3 linked regions of the Arabidopsis thaliana genome follow. The protein of the gene in region 1 interacts with the protein of each later gene in a pairwise test. Each region holds a gene or a part of one and is shown on either strand. Other genes may lie near its edges. The genes, in order: CAMBP25, WRKY51 and WRKY33.

Region 1 (3,760 bases):
GCTAGGGACTTTTATAGATTTCACTCTCTTAGACAGGAGATGTGAAAATGTAAGTAAATTTATCAAAAATGAACCATGAGAAGTTGAAAACCCTAATTTATCATGAAGTGTAATAGATAGGTTTTTATGTTCTTGTAACAAATATTCATCTCTCCAGATAATAATCGATTATGAGAGAAGTCCTAGTACACGCAATTGTATTTGAATGCATAATGGGCAAGCAGAGATGGGATGTTGTAATAAAACAAAAACTTATTTTGGCTTTGTATCAGTAATGGAGACATTATTGTATTAGTGGTCGTAACGTATTTGATTGTCTTAATAGAAAAGATGCTGACATGATATTTACCCTCCTCCCTTAAAAAATATATTATGATTATTATATAGTTCTTCTCTATTTTCAACGGTGAGAAGACTCCAACGCTAATGCGCATTATCAACTTTAGCTTCAGTTTCCTTTACCAACTAACCCCAACTTAGAATTTTGTATTATCTCATTCGATTAGCTGAATATTTTTAATAGATAGATTTGTGACTTATCCTCTAAATAGTTTTAAAGTCAAAAGAACTCAGATTTGATCCATTACATCGATAAACAAAAACTATGAACAAGATTATTCATGAAGGGATGCAAAGAAAACAAACCTAAAAAGTTAAAGATTACGTCTAAGACTGAAAGAAACAGATCACATAACCTTCCACGATTCAAGCGTTGGAAATGTTGGGTAATTATCAAACTCCACGGCAGAACCACCGGGGTCGGCCGTTGCACTTGGCTTCCCCGACGGTAATCCTACACTGCTGCTGTTACCGGAGAAAGCATTTCCCACTGCGAGATTCTCCTGGTGATGATTAGACAAAAATGCTGATGTGTCGAGCATTGGAACCGCCGTGGATCGATCCGAAGGACCACAAGGCAGTTTGTTAACGAACCTAAGCGGCTCCGGCTTGACAATCGGATCGAAAATACCAAAGGAAGAAGAGTCATCGATGTACTTGGCGCCAGTCACTTGCTGAACCATCTGACGAAAGTTGGACGGATCCGCCGTTATGAAAGTAGTCTGAGATTTCTTGGAAGCACGAGCGCGGCGCTTGGCGGCTTTACCGTCGGTAAGAAGGCAGTTACGTTTCCGTTTAGCTCCTCCGCCGATGATTTCTGGATCAGAAGCACCGGAGACGGTAGAGGAGAGTGTGTTAGTGGAAGAAGGGTGAGAAACAGCGGAGGAATCGAAGAAAGCAGAGGAAGGAGTGAGAGTATGAGGGGCTGTGACGGTGGTATGGAGAGCTCTTGCGAGCAAATCGTTGTCGTGAGAGAAGGTATCAGAAAGCAACCATGAATCAACGTTGAAACCTTGGCGATATAACCAAGAATCAACGCTTGCTAATCCCTCCGAAGTCACCATAACCGGTGAAGAAGATGGTCGCTGGGTTTCTGAAAGGAGAAGAAGAAGAAGTTAGAGAAAGAAAGAGAGAGGTGAGAAATGAAAAATGGGGCCGAGGAAGTTTATATAAGGACGGCGAGAAGCGATGGAAACCGCGTTGAGCGGAGATTGAAAGGGACACGTGTCACAGCTTACTCGTACGGAACTTTTATTCAGCTAACGAGTGAGAGATTATCATAAAACAAATTAGATTATTGAATTATGTCACAGATTTTTTTTTTTTTTGTTAAAGATGAATTATGTCAGACTTATACAAAATCGAATGGATAACATGTGGATAGTATGTATGTACTCTGTAACAAGCGAAAGAAATTTTTTTTTATTGCGTATATCCAATATTCAGACAATCTCCTTTGCAATATTGATTGATCCAATAAGAATATCTTCAACTTTTAGATACATCCTTTCTACGCGGTGAGACATGCAAATTAGCCCCAAAAAGAAAAAGAAAAATGAGGAAGGTCAATATCCAACGGCTGATGTTTACTTACTTAAACGCTTGTTGCTCTCAGTGGGACCAAAAGAGTTAGAGAAATAGAATCGGTCGTTTTCAGCTTCGGTCTTTCTTTTGTACCCTCCTATATCTTTCTGTATATCATACTCATAGTGGCTTTAACAAATATTTTAAACAATATATGAAGGTGATTTGCGTATTCTATTTTTTTTTTCATTTAGATAAGACGCTTACTCTAAGTTTTACATGGTGTTAAGTAAGTACAAGTTTGAGCTATAATTTTTAATACAAACCAAAATTAATAACTATGTTTAGGAGTTCAAAACTTCAAATTATATGCAATGAATTGGCTTATGTGAAGGGTCAAACAAAACAAATGTCAAAATTGATTATAACTTTATTTTAAAGACAACAAAAATGCGTTTATATGTATATTTTATCCTTTTATGACAATGATATTTTCATCCTTTTTATGGAGAAAAGTAAAAGAAAATTTTGAATATTGTTTATTTTTGTTTGCTTGTTTAAATAACACGAATATATATATATATATTCAAAATTCCAGGTAAGCCCAAAAGAACTAACTGTGTTAAATGAGTTTTTTTCAACGCGTTAATATGATTATACAGTTATAGAGTGAAGATGAACGCCATTCAAAGTAATCATAAAGACTGTTGAAATAGTTTTTTTTACAAGTTGTTTCACCACTCTCAACTGCATACAAGAAAAATGTTTTCAATAAAATGGATTTCTAGTTTAATCGACAAGTAAAACTAGATAAATGTAGTGCACACAATAGTTTTCTATATATTACAATGATTTAATTATTTTTCTTATGAAGATGATATTTTAACAGTTTACGTCTTTATAATGCCACGATAATAGCAAAATAAGTCTGCTATGGTCGAACGACGCTTAAGTAGCACATCAAAAACATAGTTTTTACAAGCCCATATATACTTTCTTCAAGTTGCAAAACATCCAACTGAATAAATGTACCAGCATACCAAAAAAATGATTCTTGAATTTCACCTGTCATATAACATTTTAAAAAGTTCACAACGCATACATGTACCACTCGCACTCAGCACACAAGATCTAAGATGTCAACTGTTGACTCACACGGTCACACCGTTTATTACGATTACTGATTTGTACGAGTCGTCGTCGTTTACAAAATGCAAAAAAACAATACCAATTCTTATATATATATAAAAGATTCAAAAATATAAAAGACAGGTGAAATAATTAATCAGATTGGTTTCCGCGACGTTTCTTTTGCATTTTAGTATTTTCGTGATATCAACTTTAGCACATTAACATTATACATTGACGAGACGACTCTCATGAGCTTCACTTGTTCATTCTTTAAAAAGACATATCTGGTACGTATATAAGAATTTGTTGGAAATTTCTATAATTTGTGGTCTTAAAGACTCAGATTAGTCAGAAAAAATAAATAAAGAAAATGTCTTTATTCTTATAGAAGAAGAACAAAGTCAAAAGCCGCCAACGGTGACGTGAGCATTTTTATACGATGTAATGATGATGGTATGATGACGAGACCGAACGGAAGCATGTGATGAAGGAAGAAGCGGTCGTGTGTGTGTGTCTTCTTCTTTCTTCTTTTCACCGAAAGCTTTTCTCTCATTACTTTATTTCCAATACATTACTGACTCTGACACTCCTCTCTTGTCTCCCATGTTTCTTCCTACTGCCTTGCTTCGGCTCTATAGCTTCTTCATTTGATCTCTTAATCCGAAAAGTAAAAATACATTGTTTTATCATTTAGTTTACATATAATTAAGTAAAGATCACAACTTGACGTTTGTTAACAATCCATTACTTCAAACTTTCCACAATA
Region 2 (3,760 bases), on another chromosome or scaffold:
AATTCAGGTTTTTCTAAATCATTCTTGAGTCTAATCAAATAAGGATTGGATTCAGATCGCAGTATTTTGGACAACCGTGACCCAAAAAAATTCAACACTACTTTTTAAATAAATATACGCTTAAGATTTTATATCTAGTGAGTCAGTGACCTACAAAATGTACTCATAGCAATATACATACATTAAACATTTATAACCACGAAATAAGTAACTCCTTTATTATACACCTATCAAATTATACAAAGCATTGAGATTATAATATTAATATTGTTGGTATCTTACAATCTCAACGAGGATGAGAGATTTGGATTAAGATCGAAGAAGAGAGTGTTGGTTCCAGTTATCATGATCATAAGATAAAACCATTTCATTGTAATAGACATTAGAGAGACTCTCATGGTTATGGACTCCTTCATATGTTGTAATTACATAAGCTGCATCGTCACCATCTCTCTCTACCCTCTTCTTCACCGAGCAACCTTCACTTGAGCATTTGTAGTAATTCCTTTATATTATAAATTCATCCACCACATGTTAAATTGTAATCACTTTTATAATATATCGCACCAAGTTATATATATATATATATATATATATATATGTATGTATATATATAAGAATATCATTAACCAATTACAGAGTGTGTAAATTGCTTTCAAACCATGCTTTGAATGAAAGTGATATGTTTAGATGATGAATTCATTATATTTGTTTCTCTTATGATATATGAGTCAAAATAAATCTATACGATGACTGATTATCAACCATGGATTCATTGATCCATATACCACTAATCAATCAATTTTGCTATAGGAACCTTTTATATATTTGTATAAACAAAACACACATGCATGATGTATATAGAAGCTAAATTTTATTCCAAGTGGGTTGGTAGATAATACGGGTCCATTAAATAGTATTCAAATCACTATATGGTCTAGCTAGCTAGTGGCTATATATTCTATAACAACAGGATTACAAGATGGTTATAGAAAATTATCAAGCAACCATATGTTATGTTAAAAACAAGTACTAGTAAAACATATTAATTAGATCAAATGAGTAATTTGTAAATGAATAAGTTACCTCTTGTTAATGTTGTTTTTGACAGATTTCTTGCCATACTTCCTCCATTTAAAACCATCATCCATCACATCAATCTTCGATCTCGTTCTAAATGCAACTCGATGACCCGTCTCCTTCGTCTGATCACTCTCTTTACTTCCTCTATTACTACAATATTTATTATCAAAAAGATTAATGAATAAAACTATATATAATGAAATACTAATTGCTTGGTTAAGAATCTTGCCAACAATAATAATTAAAAAGGAACTCACGTTGATTCCTTTTTACTCAACGTTGTTGCGCTGCCGGATCCGCCGCTTTCCCCGGTAAATGTCTCCGACGAAACGATGCTTGTCGGAGATGAGATCTCTTCCTCGATTAATCCATTGTTACCTCCTTCATCTATGTCAAAGAACATCAAATTTGAGAAATCGTTGTTATCCATAAACGGATTAATAAAGTTTTCATCGGAGAAGTACGTAAAATTAGGGCTAGGGTTTTGAGAGATATTCATTTTTTTTTGTTTTTGAAATAGAAAAAAAAATAATTGAGAGAGAGAGAGAGAGAGGTTTAAAGCATCCAAGAACTAGAGCAAGTGAAGAAGAGAAGAGAAAGAGTTATAATGGTCAGTTATTTATATAAAAATGAAAATTATTGTAACAAGTTTTTGTTAAGAAAAGAGGATAATTAAGAGATAAAGATTATTAAACAACTACTACTTATGTCAAGCAATTTCAGGGTAGATACTAGGAAGGTGCTTCAATGCCACGTGTGAAAAAAGGAATATGATGATGACGTCATCTGTTATGACGTATGGACAGACGTTAATAAGGGTGGCGAAAAGTGAGCTTCCACTTAAAGTAATTGTTTTTTTGCTTGGGCTTTACGGGCCCATTTTAAGAGATTTTATCGTCTACATTAGGTAACGTTGATAATTGGATTTTGGTCTTTGGATCAACGGCTGAGGATTTAAGTTGTAAGTTTGCTTATGCTGCGTTTGAAGCAGACAGGACTTTACTTTACAGTGCACACCAAGACACAATAAGATTTGACTTATTGAATTATGTAAATGTAAATTATACTATTAAAGATATTGTCACAAACTTTATTGATTTCTTTTTGGCCTAACTTTTATTTAGCAAATCCTTCAAAATGGTTATCTCATCTGGTCTGGTGAATCCACATATATATATATATATATATATATATATATATATGCAGATCAATATGATTTCGAAAGTTATAAAATTCCGTCTGTTTTTTTACCAAAGATTAACTCTATTAATTAACTAGCTTATAATATTGTTAAAAATCTTATATAAACTATACTCCAATATTGATGGGAAACAGCAAATGCGTTTTTTAATGTTGGCAACATTTTATATATTTTATTTTTTCTTATTAGTCGTTTTTTGTTCTTCCAGAAGTTTTGGCACATTGCAATGTATCATCATACATATATGAATCGTTGACCCACACATATATCATATATGTATGACCAAGTTTTTTTGCTAAGTCTATTCTTAAGTCAACGATTCAAAATTTCAAAGTGGTCTTTTAATCTTGTCTTAAAAGGTAAGACGAAATTTCTTGGTGCCACTCTTAATTGTTTTTGTAACTACAATAATATTCTCTCTGTATTGTGTTAAAACAAACATAAAAACTAATTAACTGAGAATAAACACAGAAACATGTAGTGTGGCTCTGTTTTTAAGAAACACATGACTGGAATCATATAAATATTACCTATTTGAGTGATTTTACATGCAAATGATTAAAAGTTTAAAATCAGATAGTGTTAAAACTTAAACGTTTGCACAAAAAAATGTGTTTTAACTATGATTAACTAAAGTAATTAAGAAGAAGAAAAAGCAATAAAATATAGTATTTTTTAAAAAAGAGGCTAAAATATAAACTGAAAGACTGAAAAAGAAGGGCGGCTGGCCAAAAGTGAAGGAGTGTGTTAGTGTGGGGTTCTAATTGAAAGAACCCCTTTTTCAAGGGGAAAATCTGAAAAAATAAAAAATAATTACATATCTATATTTTAGTGAATTGCTTTGAAAGTGATATATGGACATTTATTAATGAACACCAACCACCTATCAGCTAAAACAGAAAAAAAAACAAAAAAAAAAGATGAGTTACAAGTTACTGACCTTTATATATACAACAATATACCTTATTAGTACGTAAAAAAGAATAATACTGTATTTTGTTAAAACAAATTACAATGACAAAAGAAAATTCACAAAAACGTACTTTTACTCAGTTTATTCTAACATATCACGATATTTTTTCGATTCCATTATTTCTGTTTGCCATATCGTTCCAGCAACTTTGAGCATACAAAATTTAAATGCTAGAAACAATTGAAATTTATCTCATACTATTTTAGAGTTTCCAACCCAACCTAATTAAAGACTATTAATCTTGAAAAGTAAACTAACTTATAACGATACATATATACACCAAACGAACAATTTACGAAGTCGAAGTATGTTGCATCTTTCTCAGTAGTCAGTACTCTACTTGTTGTGCAAAGGATTTGGACCTGTGGGGATAGATCGTTTCTCTTCTTCTTCCTCGTCGCCGTCCGTCTTTCTCCGAAATCTAGACGATCTTCGTCTAACTTTATTAAAATTTGACATCTCCGTGATCACAACCTTGTGATGATTCTTGTAGTATAGTGATC
Region 3 (3,760 bases), 1.0 Mb from region 1:
GTGACCAGCAATAGCAGCTGGTCTAATCGGGACTGAAGACGAATCCTGTGGTGCTCTGTTTGTGGCGTAACCGCTACCACGAGCTGCAGGAACATCGTGGTTGTGTTTCCCTTCGTAGGTTGTGATTACTGCTCTCATGTCGTGTGATGCTCTCTCCACATGTTTCCTCACTGGACAACCGATGGTTGTGCACTTGTAGTAGCTTCTGTTAAGATTCAGCAAATGAAAAGAAAACAAAAGGTCAGATTCTCAAGAACCTTAATTCTGAGTTATTGAGATGCACAATTGTTTATGTTATTACCTTGGATTTGGGTTTCCCTTAACGACTTTCTGGCCGTATTTTCTCCATCTGTAACCGTCGTCAAGAATGTCAATATCACTCGTTGTCTGCACTACGATTCTCGGCTCTCTCACTGTCTTGCTTCCACCACCATTCCCACCATTTGTTTCATTGTCCCCTTTCCTGAAAACACAAAAAAACATACATTTTAGAACTTTCATATTCAAGATTGTTCAAAGAGTAGCAAATTTGGAGGGTGATGATGATCTGTACCATCTCTTTGCTTCAGGTTCACTCCCACAATCTTCTTCGTCTCTGCTGACAATCGATGAGCCTTGTTCGAACTCATCGTCACCAACAGAATCAGAAGTAGTATTATCCTCTTGTTGCATCCCAAAGGAATCAGACTGATGAAAGCTATTATTGGAATTAGGCTGATCAGAAGAAGCTTGACGATTATGATCCAAACTGGCATTGTACACAGCTGAATGAAAAGTCGAAGAAGACGAAGAAGATCTTCTAGTAGACTGAGGTTTAGGATGGTTGTGGCTTCCTTTATACACAATCTCTGTGATCTGACCTTCCAAAGATCTCTCCACTTTCTTCTTCGTTGGACAATTAGGGAAAGTACACTTATAGTAACTCCGAGGATTCTCACTTCCTTTCACCTGTTTTTGTCCGTACTTTCTCCAATTGTAACCATCCTCTCCTTTCCTTTGCTCTCTTCCATTGTAAGATACAGCTTGATTGTTTGGACGAGTCTCGGTTTGGCTCCATTGTTCTGACTGGTTCTTCTTCTGTTGTTCCTGAAACTCAAAACAAAGTTATAGAAAAACTCATAAACAGAGGATTTGAGCTGTTGATGAAGTACATACCTGAGATTGAAAGATAGAACTGTTTGTTGTTGTTGTAGTTGTAGTTGTAGTTGTAGTTGTGGTCGGAGCAGAAACTCCTGATGATTGTGTGTGGAATGAGAAATCGAATAAGTTAAAGTTGTTGTTGTTGCTCTTGTCTCCTTCATTTATACCTTTCTGGTTAGTTACGTTTGTGATTAAAGCTCCTGTGGTTGGAGAAGCTAGAACCTGCAAAACAATCCCAAGAATTGTTCAGACTTCAAGAAAAGAGACAAATAGCAATAACATAATTAAGAAAGAGTCGAGAGTTGACTCTAAAAGTCTTTCTCTCTCTTTGAAACCGTTGACCCATAACTTTATCACTTCCGATCACGATTCATTGTCAAGATGTTAAATCAATGATACATCAAACACAGATTATCATCACTAATTGGATTCATTTCAAAAGAAACAGAGAAAAAAAACAGAGAGGCTTACGTTAGCAGAGGAGGAGACAAAAGCAGGGGAATCGAGAAAAAGAGAGGGACTGAAACAAGTGGAAGGAGAGACAAGAGAAGGAGAGATAGAGATTGAAGAAGGAGCAAAAGATCTGAACTTTGGTATCTCAAGATCTTCCAAAGAGGAAGTAGATGTTCTTCCGGATTGTTGTGACCAATTAGCAGAACCATTCATGTTTTGTCTGGTTCTGCTATTGTCCATTGTAAGAAAAGAAGCAGCCATACGAAAAATGGAAGTTTGTTTTATAAAAGACCAATTTCAGATATATATAGAAAGGAGGGGGGCTTGGAGAAGAAGAAAATGAGAGAAGTGATGGTTCTTGTTCTTCTTCTTGTTTCTGTATATTTGTTGGTTATGTCTGAATATATAAAACATATTGCACGTCTGATTGGTGAATATTATATTATTTTAAAATTTTGTTTAATTGTTCGTTTTTATTTTTAGGGTCACATATGAAGAAGAGTAGTTTCTGAGAAGGTGATAAAAAGTTTGACCGTTGAAAATATGATTAGAAGAAGAAGGAGAAGAGATAGATTGGTCAGACCTTGTGGCCTTGACTCTCAAACGTTGAACGGATTTTTTGAGGGGCGGCTCAATGCTTTCATCATCTTCATATGTCTCGTTCTGACACGTATGATTTATTCTTTATACGATGTTGTAGTATTTTTGGATCAAAAATACAAATTCAAACATTTGGGATTCTTGGCTCTTGCTCAAAAAACCTAGAAAATTTCGGAATCTTGAAAATTTTGACTGTAGGTGTACTAGGAAAGGTTCTCTCATATCTTTAAAGCACATGACATGAGTGTAAAAGATTAGTATTTAGAAGTGAGTTTGTGAGTATTTTACTATTTTTAGCAAAACCTCCTAACTAAAGTCGATATTAAATCCATGTGCGGCTGTTTTTGGTTTCAATCTATTTTTTAGGAGACTTAATTCTACTATGAATAGACTAATTGAACACAAGATTATTCATTTAAAGAATACTAGAAACAAATATTTATTAGAATGTTAAATTCTATGATTATCAAACTATTTTGTATCCGTATCGGTTTTGATATAGAGATAGGCTACAAATTGACCCTAGATAACATTTTGTAGCTTCCGATCAATAAATTGGTATAACTTCTGTCGAAGGTAGGCCTTTTTTTTTTGTATATATGTATTTGAAGTAGCCATAAATGTAATAAGAGAATTACATATTGTGTATATATGTATTTGAAGTAGCCATAAATGTTCTTATTGAGATGTCAGGATGTTTGTCTTCCATCACTGCTACCACGTCTGGCCCTCTTCTTTGGTAGTCGTCTCTGTTTTGTACATAAAACCTTACTCAGTTTGTTGTTTCCTTAACTAGTCTTGTAATATTTGTTATTTGCTTTTTTTATCTAGACGTCCTTGTTTTATATAAACAGTCTATGTACGTTGTATTGTACAATGTTTAATATCAATAACAACACCCTTTGGCAAAAAAAAAAAAATTACATATCGTGTCAAGCATAGTAGTGTAAATTGTAAATCGTTTAGGTATATAAAAGTGATCAGTTTCTTATTGCACGATATGTGGTATGGTTCTTCACGTGGAACCTAAATTAAACGTCATGGATTTTGTGTCGCTTTACCGTGCAAGTTGCAAACTATGCAGTGTTTGTTGATCCGATGACAGTTTCTTTCTTCAGCCCAAAAGCCCAAAAGGCCCAAAGTAAAATAGCCTCTTGCTTTAATACACGTCGGTATCTCTACAGCTAACACGTAAAACAGACGTGGCAAGAGTTGCTTCCAGAATCATTAATAGTTAAAAAAAATCATCATTGGCACAAGAAAGTGAGATATTTCCTAGTCTTGCTTTCAAGTTTCAAGCAATCTATCTATCTCGAAAAAGCAGCGATGCAAGACGCCGAGACATCACGACAGCCGGCGAAGTCTTTGTCCGATCGAGTGAAGACTAACTGTTTATCCATGGCAGTAACATGCCAGGAAGGGTTTAGCTATGTCAAAGCCTTTTTTGTTGGCCAGGTGCGTATACAAGAGTCTTGTTTCGAGCCACTGAAACAAGCGGATCAGAGACTCATGGGTCTTCTTGAATCAATGATCACTTGACGTATTTGGTGTCTCGTTAATTTCCTTA

The links.
Region 2: the proteins of CAMBP25 (region 1) and WRKY51 interact in a two-hybrid assay, tested with the Arabidopsis thaliana proteins (one study listed by BioGRID).
Region 3: the proteins of CAMBP25 (region 1) and WRKY33 interact in a two-hybrid assay, tested with the Arabidopsis thaliana proteins (one study listed by BioGRID).

The regions. Positions count from the first base shown.
Region 1 is NC_003071.7:17,113,329-17,117,088, forward strand, and holds CAMBP25 (calmodulin (CAM)-binding protein of 25 kDa), read right to left. Parts: upstream 1,720-3,760; 5' UTR 1,404-1,719; coding exon 687-1,403; 3' UTR 470-686; downstream 1-469. UniProt on the Arabidopsis thaliana protein: Calmodulin-binding protein that functions as a negative regulator of osmotic stress tolerance.
Region 2 is NC_003076.8:25,906,237-25,909,996, reverse strand, and holds WRKY51 (WRKY DNA-binding protein 51), read right to left. Parts: upstream 1,751-3,760; 5' UTR 1,583-1,750; coding exon 1,341-1,582; intron 1,234-1,340; coding exon 1,087-1,233; intron 506-1,086; coding exon 310-505; 3' UTR 116-309; downstream 1-115. Other genes in the region: CLE21 (CLAVATA3/ESR-RELATED 21), read right to left, coding at 3,594-3,760. UniProt on the Arabidopsis thaliana protein: Transcription factor. Interacts specifically with the W box (5'-(T)TGAC[CT]-3'), a frequently occurring elicitor-responsive cis-acting element. Involved in defense responses.
Region 3 is NC_003071.7:16,106,570-16,110,329, reverse strand, and holds the start of WRKY33 (WRKY DNA-binding protein 33), read right to left. Parts: upstream 2,096-3,760; 5' UTR 1,855-2,095; coding exon 1,612-1,854; exon of another isoform or gene 1,363-1,611; coding exon 1,156-1,362; intron 1,087-1,155; coding exon 554-1,086; intron 464-553; coding exon 302-463; intron 206-301; coding exon 1-205. Other genes in the region: AT2G38465 (uncharacterized protein), read left to right, coding at 3,520-3,648.